Macaca mulatta: one gene and its partner. Each later gene encodes a partner of the first gene's protein in a complex. Links are inferred from orthologs where the notes say so. Each region holds a gene or a part of one and is shown in the gene's direction. Other genes may lie near its edges.

Evidence for each region.
Region 2: the proteins of BCAP31 (region 1) and FIS1 are in contact, whole or in part, in a crystal structure (PDB 8XWX), measured with the Homo sapiens proteins. The link is inferred for Macaca mulatta from reciprocal best matches to the Homo sapiens genes BCAP31 and FIS1. Residues at the interface, in NP_001132913.1 of Homo sapiens: Asp224, Leu227, Glu228, Ala231, Lys232, Ala235; in NP_057152.2 of Homo sapiens: Arg52, Val56, Glu59, Glu60, Pro63, Lys64, Lys89.

Annotation. Positions count from the first base shown.
Region 1 is NC_133426.1:159,935,060-159,939,371, reverse strand, and holds the end of BCAP31 (B-cell receptor-associated protein 31), read left to right. Parts: intron 1-158; coding exon 159-294; intron 295-1,193; coding exon 1,194-1,317; intron 1,318-2,148; coding exon 2,149-2,249; intron 2,250-3,289; coding exon 3,290-3,328; 3' UTR 3,329-3,770; downstream 3,771-4,312. UniProt on the Homo sapiens protein: Functions as a chaperone protein. Is one of the most abundant endoplasmic reticulum (ER) proteins.
Region 2 is NC_133408.1:48,509,809-48,513,808, reverse strand, and holds the start of FIS1 (mitochondrial fission 1 protein), read left to right. Parts: upstream 1-1,175; 5' UTR 1,176-1,269; coding exon 1,270-1,314; intron 1,315-2,151; coding exon 2,152-2,284; coding exon of another isoform or gene 2,285-2,328; intron 2,329-4,000. UniProt on the Homo sapiens protein: Involved in the fragmentation of the mitochondrial network and its perinuclear clustering. Plays a minor role in the recruitment and association of the fission mediator dynamin-related protein 1 (DNM1L) to the mitochondrial surface and mitochondrial fission.

The DNA of each region.
Region 1 (4,312 bases):
CTGCCAGCACCAGGTTGGCGGCTTCTCGCTCGGCTGCCTTGGCAAGAAGGCAGGCCCAGGCTGGAACCAGGTGTGGGGTGGGAGCAACCAGGAGGTGCTCCTGCCAGCGCTTCATGCTCTTTTTCTCAGTTCTCCCTTCTTTTTGTAAATAATTGCAGCCTGCTTAGACGCCTGGTGACTCTCATCTCGCAGCAGGCCACACTGCTGGCCTCTAATGAAGCCTTTAAAAAGCAGGCAGAGAGTGCTAGTGAGGCGGCCAAGAAGTACATGGAGGAGAATGACCAGCTCAAGAAGGTGAGCCCAGCTTCCTGACCCGCCATGGGGCGCCCTGGTGTTACACCGTGGGAGCCACGTTCTGTAGGGCCTCAGTGGCCACTGCTAGCCAGTCACGCTGGGAAATGTATGAAACTTCCACTGCCTGAAAAACCAGAGTTGGGTGGAGGCACAGAGGGGAAGTCCTCGATGGGGAGGGTATGCCCGCTGGAGGTGTCTGTGTACGAGGGTCCGGGTGAGGAGGAGGGTGTTGCTGCTCTCATTTCCATCCACTGCTTCCAGTCAGACCCTTCCCTGAGAAAAACGGCCCCTCAGTGAGCCAGGCCCTCTGTGTGAACTGAAGGCCCTCAGCTAGGCCCTTGTTCCCTGCAAGATTGCCGCACCCCCTCTGGAACATGGGGTCTGTGGCATCCCTCAGTGCTGGAGAGGAGGTGGGGGCAGAGTGGTTGGCAAGTCCTAGACATCCTGTCAGGAGGCGAGCTGCGAGCCAAGCTTGGAGGGATGTGGATGCAGAAGTGGGATAGAGCTGGCCAGGCAGACAGCGGGCTCCTTACGGCAGCAAACGGCACCACGTGGGGAGCAGAAGGCACCATCATCCGTGGAGGGGTTGGTGAGCACCATGGAGCTGGTGAGCCCTGCTGCTCAGGAAGGAGGCAGGGCCAGGGGCCAGGGCAGACAAGGCGTGCCTGGCGAGCTGCAGCAGGTGGCCCCGCTGGCGCTTCTCTTTCCCTCGGCTGGCAGCCACGCCCTGGCCTTTGCCTAGGAGCTGGGAGCAAGTGGTGGCTCGGTTCTGCGTTGACATTTCCGAAGGGGCGAGTCGCCAGGGCAGCTTGAGGAACCGCATCTCGGTGGGGAGGATGGGGCTGGAGCCTCTCCCTCCCTCCCTCCTGAGTAACCTTGGCCTTTGGCACTTTTCCCAGGGAGCTGCTGTTGACGGAGGCAAGTTGGATGTCGGGAATGCTGAGGTGAAGTTGGAGGCAGAGAACAGGAGCCTGAAGGCTGACCTGCAGAAGCTAAATGATGAGCTGGCCAGCACTAAGCAAAGTGAGGCTCGACCTTGTGTCCTTACCTGGAGGGAAGTCCAGAGGAGCCTCCTCTGCCTGCTGCTGCCCATTTTGTGCCAAACTATTAGTAACAAGCCTTGCATGCACGCTGGAGGGCTGGCTGAAAACAAACAAATAGCACCCTGTGCCTCCATCCCCAATGCAGTCATGCTTAGCCCTCAGGCCAGTGAGGCTAAGTGGTTTGAATGGGGCTCAGGAGGAACCAGGCTGCAGCTGGTGGGCCTCGATTGCCCCATGCTAGAGCAATGCACACTGGGGTTTTCCTGTCCACAGTGTGGCGTGGTAGCCCCAGCATGCCTGGGGGCTGAGAATGAGGGGAGTGTGTGAGTGGCGTTCAGGAGGGGAGTGGGCGGCTCCCGAGCGGCCTGCCTATCTTTGGTCTCCCATGCATAGACTAAGTCTGGGGCATTTTCCCCCAACATCACAGGCCTCGCCTGCTGCTGCTGTCTGCAAGACATGGTTGTCATTGGGTGTCGCTTTCAGGCTGGGATCTTGCTCCCTGTTTCCCACTCTCAGCCTCCCTGGAGGTTACCCCTGCAGAAAGCCACTAGAGTTCCCCTCCATGAAAGGGACTGGGGGACATCCTCTGTATTTCTTTTGCTTTATCTAGCTTTTTTGTCAGCCCTTTCCTTCTACTTTGGGGACCTGCAAAAGCAGAGGGGCTTTGAGAAGTAGTCTCCTGTATAGTCTCCTGTACAACCTCCTTTGAGATGGATTTGGGCCAGTTTCTTATGTCTGTAGCAGTTGTTTTTTTTCCCCCTAATTCTGGTCTTTTCATTTCTGTTTTCTTGGTCATTTACATCATTTCAAGAATTAGAGAAAGCTGAAAACCAGGTTCTGGCCATGCGGAAGCAGTCTGAGGGCCTCACCAAGGAGTACGACCGCCTGCTGGAGGAACACGCAAAGCTGCAGGTCAGTCCTCCCGTGTCACTGTGCCCAGGACAGAACAGCAGGATGAGGCAGCCCCACGGGTGGGGAGGGAACCTTCCAGGGGCCGAGGGGCCGGCTGCCCTATCCCCGACTCCCCCTGGCCACCTCTGCCCTGCTGAGTGGGACTCTTCACCGGACAGGAGAGGGTGGCCTGGCAGCAGATGTAGGCACTTGCCGAGGCGGCCCTCAGGAGTGGCACTGGCTCACTAGGCTCTGAGCCTTCCTACCTTTGTGCTCAGGTTCAGTCCATGGTTTGGGGCCCCGTCAAGAACAGAGAAGCAGGTGAAACTCTAGGACCCACTGGTGGCTTTCTTTCCTAGAGCACTGGGGGGGTGATGTTGGGCAAACATCCCTGGGCAAGTGAGGGCATAAGGTGTCAAAAAGGCACCTCCCCCAGCAGGCACTAGTTGTTGCCATCGCCTGCTGCCCTAGGCCTGATCCGAGTCCTCAGATTAGCTTGGGTGCACCGGGCTGCATCTGGAAGCCCAGGAGGTCTTGACGTTGGGAGTGAGGGCCACGTAAATACTCCCAACTTTGGACACCTGGCATCAGTGCTTGGTGGCCCAAGTTTGGGCACCACAGCAGATGGGGAGGAAGGGTCCAGCCTCAGAGGGGGCACCCATGCCCTCTGTATGGGGCAGGCTTGGCGAATGGGACTTGGGCTTCGAGGGCACCTGTCAAAGTTGTGCAGAGTTGGGAAGGGCCTGATCAGGTCTTCAAGGGGACTGGATGCCTTGCTGTTCCCTGCAGCCAGGACTCAGCCCCCAGTGAGGTACTGGCAGTCCTCCCTGGCTGGCGTTAGGTCCAGGGCTTTCCCTATCCTAGAGGGTGGGCCAGGGCTGACGCTCCCACCCTGGCAGGCCTTTGGGTACAGCTGAGGAGGGGGCCCCTTGCTTAATTGAATTCAGCTGTTGTTAGGAGATAGGAGAACTGAGCTGGACCTCTGGGGCATGGGGCTGGAGGTGGCAGGGGAGGAGTGGACCCAACCAACCTACTGCTGTGGGATTTCTGTCCCTTTCCAGGCTGCAGTAGATGGTCCCATGGACAAGAAGGAAGAGTAAGGGCCTCCTTCCTCCCCTGCCTGCAGCTGGCTTCCACCTGGCACGTGCCTGCTGCTTCCTGAGAGCCCAGCCTCTTCCTCCAGTACTTCTGTTTGTGCCCTTCTGCTTCCCCCATTCCCTTCCACAGCTCATAGCTCATCATCTCGGCCCGTCCACACTCTCCCAGCACATTACAGGGGACCTGATTGCAACACGTTCAGAATGCATTTGCTGTCATCCTGTTTGGCTTGGCCTGGCCAGGCCTGGCGCAGCCCTGGCTTCCACGCCTGAGCGTGGAGGGCACGAGTTAGTTGTAGTCTGGCTTGCGGTGGGGCTGACTTCCTGTTGGGTTGAGCCCTTTTAGTTTTGCCCTCTGGGTGTTTTCTTTGGTCCCGCAGGAGGGTGGGTGGAGCAGGTGGACTGGAGTTTCTCTTGAGGGCAATAAATGTTGTCATGGTGTGTACGTGGTGTGTTGTGTGACTGCGGCTGTGGGGAGGGCTCTGCTTCCTCTCCTGCCCGGAGCCCCCAAGCGGCCACAGCCCTTCAACCTGTTTCCCCCACTGAAGGCCAGGCTCACACCTGTTCTCAAAGGCCCTGCCCTGTCTGCCCTCCTGCTCCCTGGGCCGGGCCAGGCCTCGCTTCAGGGCCACCCGCCGAGTGTGTGTCCTGTCTGCCTCCCTGGGTGTGGGCAGCTTGGGAGGCTCAGTAAAGCGGCGGGGCTTCCGGGTAGAGGACTCGCTTGCCTTCTCTGGGTTCCTGTTCGTCACATTTGGGACAGACAGAACGTGGCAGAACGCCACTAGTCACTCCCTGCCCCACCCCCTCCTGAAGGTTTGCAGGATGACCTCTGACTAATGCCAGCTGGGAGAGGAGACTTGTCCTTGGCAGTGACCTGGAGCTGGCCCAGGGCAGAGCTAGGCAGAAAGGGGCTGGGAATGGGCTGGGGCCCCCGGCCCTGAGAACGTATTGGGTGTGTGCCTGCCACCAGAGCGCTGTGCTGGCTCC
Region 2 (4,000 bases), on another chromosome or scaffold:
AAATTAGACGGGCGCGGTGGCGGGCGCCTGTAGTCCTAGCTACTCAGGAGGCTGAGGCAGGAGAATGGCGTGAACCCAGGAGGCGGAGCTTGCAGTGAGCAGAGATCGCGCCACTGCACTCCAGCCTGGGCAACAGCGTGAGACTCCGTCTCAAAAAAAAAAAAAAAAAAAAAGAAAGTTACTACCTACCCAGTCCCCTCACTGCACAGAAACTGAAGCCAGATGTGTCCACACCTTTCTCCTTCCCATGCTCTGATAGCTCGTCTCTGCTAAGCTCCCCATTGCCCGTGACCCCATGTGGCAGGTTTCCCGCCTGGGGTGCACTCAGAAAATGGTTTATGTAAATAATATTGAAAAGATTGGACCTTCTCCGCAAAGAATGGGGCCGTTGCTTTTTGAAAAACTTCCTGTTGATAGTATCTCCTATGACTACCCCAATCTCTGGCTGTGTGGTTTACAGATCCAGTTGCCTCTGCTCTTGCATCGTGAGAGTCAGCAGAGGCCCAAGAAACCCCGATACTAGTTTGCTGCTGTTGGTGGGTTTTTTGAGACAAGGTCTCAGTCGCCCAAGCTGGAGTGCAGTGGAGTGCAGCCTCAAACTCCTGGGCTCAAGCGATCCTCCTGCCTCAGCCGCCCCAGTAGCTGGGAGTACAGGTGCACGCCACCACGGTGGTTAATTTTTTAAAACATTTTGTAAAGATAGGGTCTCGCTGTGTTGCTCAGGCTGGTCTTGAACTCCTGGCCTCCAGCGATCTTCCCGCCACGGCCTCCCAAGGTGTTGGGGTTACAGGCGTGAGCCACGGGCTCGGTCCCCAGTTCTAGTTACGATTTTGTTGCAGGCGGTGAAAAGTCACGTGGCCTCCAAAGTCCTAGATTTCTGAGGGGCGTCAGCTTGGCAGCCTAATGTAAAGTGATCTCCGACTGGCTACCCACCCTCCGCTTTTTGCTCTTTTCATCCTGGGGGCTAACCGCTAAGACATAGCCTCCAGTTTCCCTCGGGAAGCCTCCGCGGAGGAAGGCACCGGCTAGGGCATCCGGGAAGACCCATCTGGGGAAAGTCTCCCTACGTGCAGTCTGCGGGCTGAAGGGGCCGGAGGAGCCTGCGTACTAGCGTCCCGCTGGCCCTGCTGCGCTGAGAGGAAGGGGCGGGGCGTCGCCAGGTCGTGCCCGCATCCGCCGGACGCCGGAAGTGGCTCTCCGCCCCTGCCACTGGGCCATGGAGACTGTGGCACAGTAGATTGTAGTGTGAGGCTCACGGGGGCAGTGGCCATGGAGGCCGTGCTGAACGAGCTGGTGTCTGTGGAGGACCTGCTGGTGAGGCCTGGCCCGGACAGAGGGAAAGGGAAGGTCGGAGGGCGGGTCCTGAGGAGAGTCAGGTATGGGCCGAACCCTCCTCCCGGCATCGGCTTGGCGGAGGGAAGCCGAACTACGGCTCCCGGCAGCCTCCACAGTGTCTGGCTCCTGCCCGGAGGGCCCGCTATGCCGCAGAGGCTCCTGGGAGTTGTAGTGTCCTGAGCCCCCACACCTCAGAGTACGGGCCTGTTGCCCGACAGTGGTTAGACTGACGGGTTCTGGGATTATGCAGGAGCTGTGAGCTCAGGGCGCTCCTCCAGCGGTGGAGGAATACAGTGACCATCAGAAGGCGTCACCTATTACTGCGTCCGGCGCGGTGCTAAGGCATCGCATGCCAGATCTCAGTCCTTGTAGCTCTAGGAGGTAGGCACTACTTCTATTCCTGGACAGTAAAAGGTCCAGGCCCGGCAGGGTGGGGCAGGATGGGGCCAGCAGGCTCAAATGAGGACCGCGTGGGCTGTTGTTGAGCAGTTCTGACAGTGTGTTTACTGTTTGGCCGCCGGGGTCAGCTGCTCCGGGAGCGGTGCCTGGAGCTGCCACCAGGTGGCATCTCCGCTCGGTACCGCCGGGGGGAGGGGAGACCAGGGGCATCTGTCCCAAGAGCTGGCCCACAGGCCAGGAGGAGCCGAAAGCCTGGGTCCCGTGCATGGAGATAGCAGACGCTGGGGTGCCAGATACCGAGACCCACGAGGGAAAGGAGGCAGAGCCAGGGATATGGGGTGTGACTGACACCATGTCCAGATAGAGAATGGTTGACGCCCTTCATTTCTAAATGATTCCTTTCTTCCCCTGTGGCAGAAATTTGAAAAGAAATTTCAGTCTGAGAAGGCAGCAGGCTCGGTGTCCAAGAGCACGCAGTTTGAGTACGCCTGGTGCCTGGTGCGGAGCAAGTACAATGATGACATCCGTAAAGGCATCGTGCTGCTCGAGGGTGAGGCGCTGTACTCTCCCCTTCCCGCTGCCATCTGGGCTGCTGTACGATGTGGGCCCCCGTAGTCCAGGCACCTCTCAGTTGTCTCCCGTAGATTTACTGCACCAAGGGCTATACTTAGCTTGACGTCTCCCAGTGAACTTTTGGCTACTTACCGCCCACCATTGTTTTGCCAGACGGAGTCGTAGCTTGTCATTTCCCCCAGGACTATCTTGATCTGGGAAAGTGACTTGAGGTCACGCAACTAATAAGTTCATGGCTGAATTGGGACTAGAAGCTCCCGTTTTGTGAGACCTAGGCCCATGCCCTTCCCCCCAACACCACCACCGTGTTGCTTAGTTAGCAGCTATTGAGAATCTTTTGTGGCATGGAAGAGGTCCAGAGGACTGTCCTACAAAATTGTGAGCACATAGTGCTTTTTGTTTTTTTTGTTTGAGACGGAGTCTTGCTCTGTCCTCCAGGCTGGAGTACAGTGGTGCTGTCTCAGCTCACTGCAGCCGCCCCCTCCCGGTTCAAGCAATTCTCCTGCCTCAACAACAGGCGCCCACTACCATGCCCGGCTAATTTTTGTATTTTTAGTAGGAACAGGGTTTCACCTTGTTGGTCAGGCTGGTCTCGAACTCCTGACCTCAGGTGATCTGCCCACCTCGGCCTCCCAAAGTGTTGGGATTACAGGTGTGAGACACCGCGTCCAGCCAGATAGTGCTTTTTGGATTGGACCCCTATTTCCCATTGGTTTTGTGTGGGTCATCATTTGTCAGAGACCACAATACTTAACCACTTAATTTCTCTGTACCTCCTTTCTTTTGTTCAAGTAATCATTTATAAGCACACAGTCAGTGTACAGCCATCCCTCTGTAGCCATGGGGGATTGGTTCTAGGAACCCTGCCCCACAAATACCAATAGCCATCCAAGTCCCTTATATAAAATGGTGTGGTATTTACATGTAACCTGTGCACCTTCTCCTACATACTTTCAATCATCTGTAGATTACTTATAATACCAAATACAATGTAAATGCTGTGTAAATAGTATACTGTATTGTTTAGGGAATAATGGCAAAAAAAAAAAAGATCTGTTCATGTTCAGTACATATGCAACTATCTTTTTTTTTTTCCCTGAGTATCTTTGATCCATGTTCGTTGAATCCATGAATACAGAATGCCAACTGTGCTAGCAAAGGATGCCTATTGAAAATCTATAAAAATGGCCAGGCGCAGTGACTCACACCTGTAATCCCAGCACTTTGGGAGGCCAAGGCAGGCCGATCACGAGGTCAGGAGTTCAAGACCAGCCTGATCAACATGGTGAAACCGTCTCTACTAAAAATACGAAAATTAGCTGGGCGCGCACCTGTAATCCCAGCTACTCAGGAGGCTGAGGCAGGAGAATCACTTGAACTCGGGAGACAGGTTGCAGTGAGCCAAGATCACGCCATTGCACTCCAGCCTGGGCAACAGAACGAGACTCCGTCTCAAAGGAAAAAAAAAATCTATAAAATATTCTTTCTTAAAAGATACAAATAATTTTACCCTATGTTTGTCTACTTTGGCAATTCAGATTTTCAGGTTTATTCTACAGCAGGGTGTAGCTGTAGAAGAAACAGCCTCTCTAAGTGATTATCAACAAATTCTAGTGCATAGAGTACAGTTATCCTCTGGGAAGTCTCTGAATTAAGAAAGTTAGGTGGGGCCAGGCACTGTGGCTCATGCCTG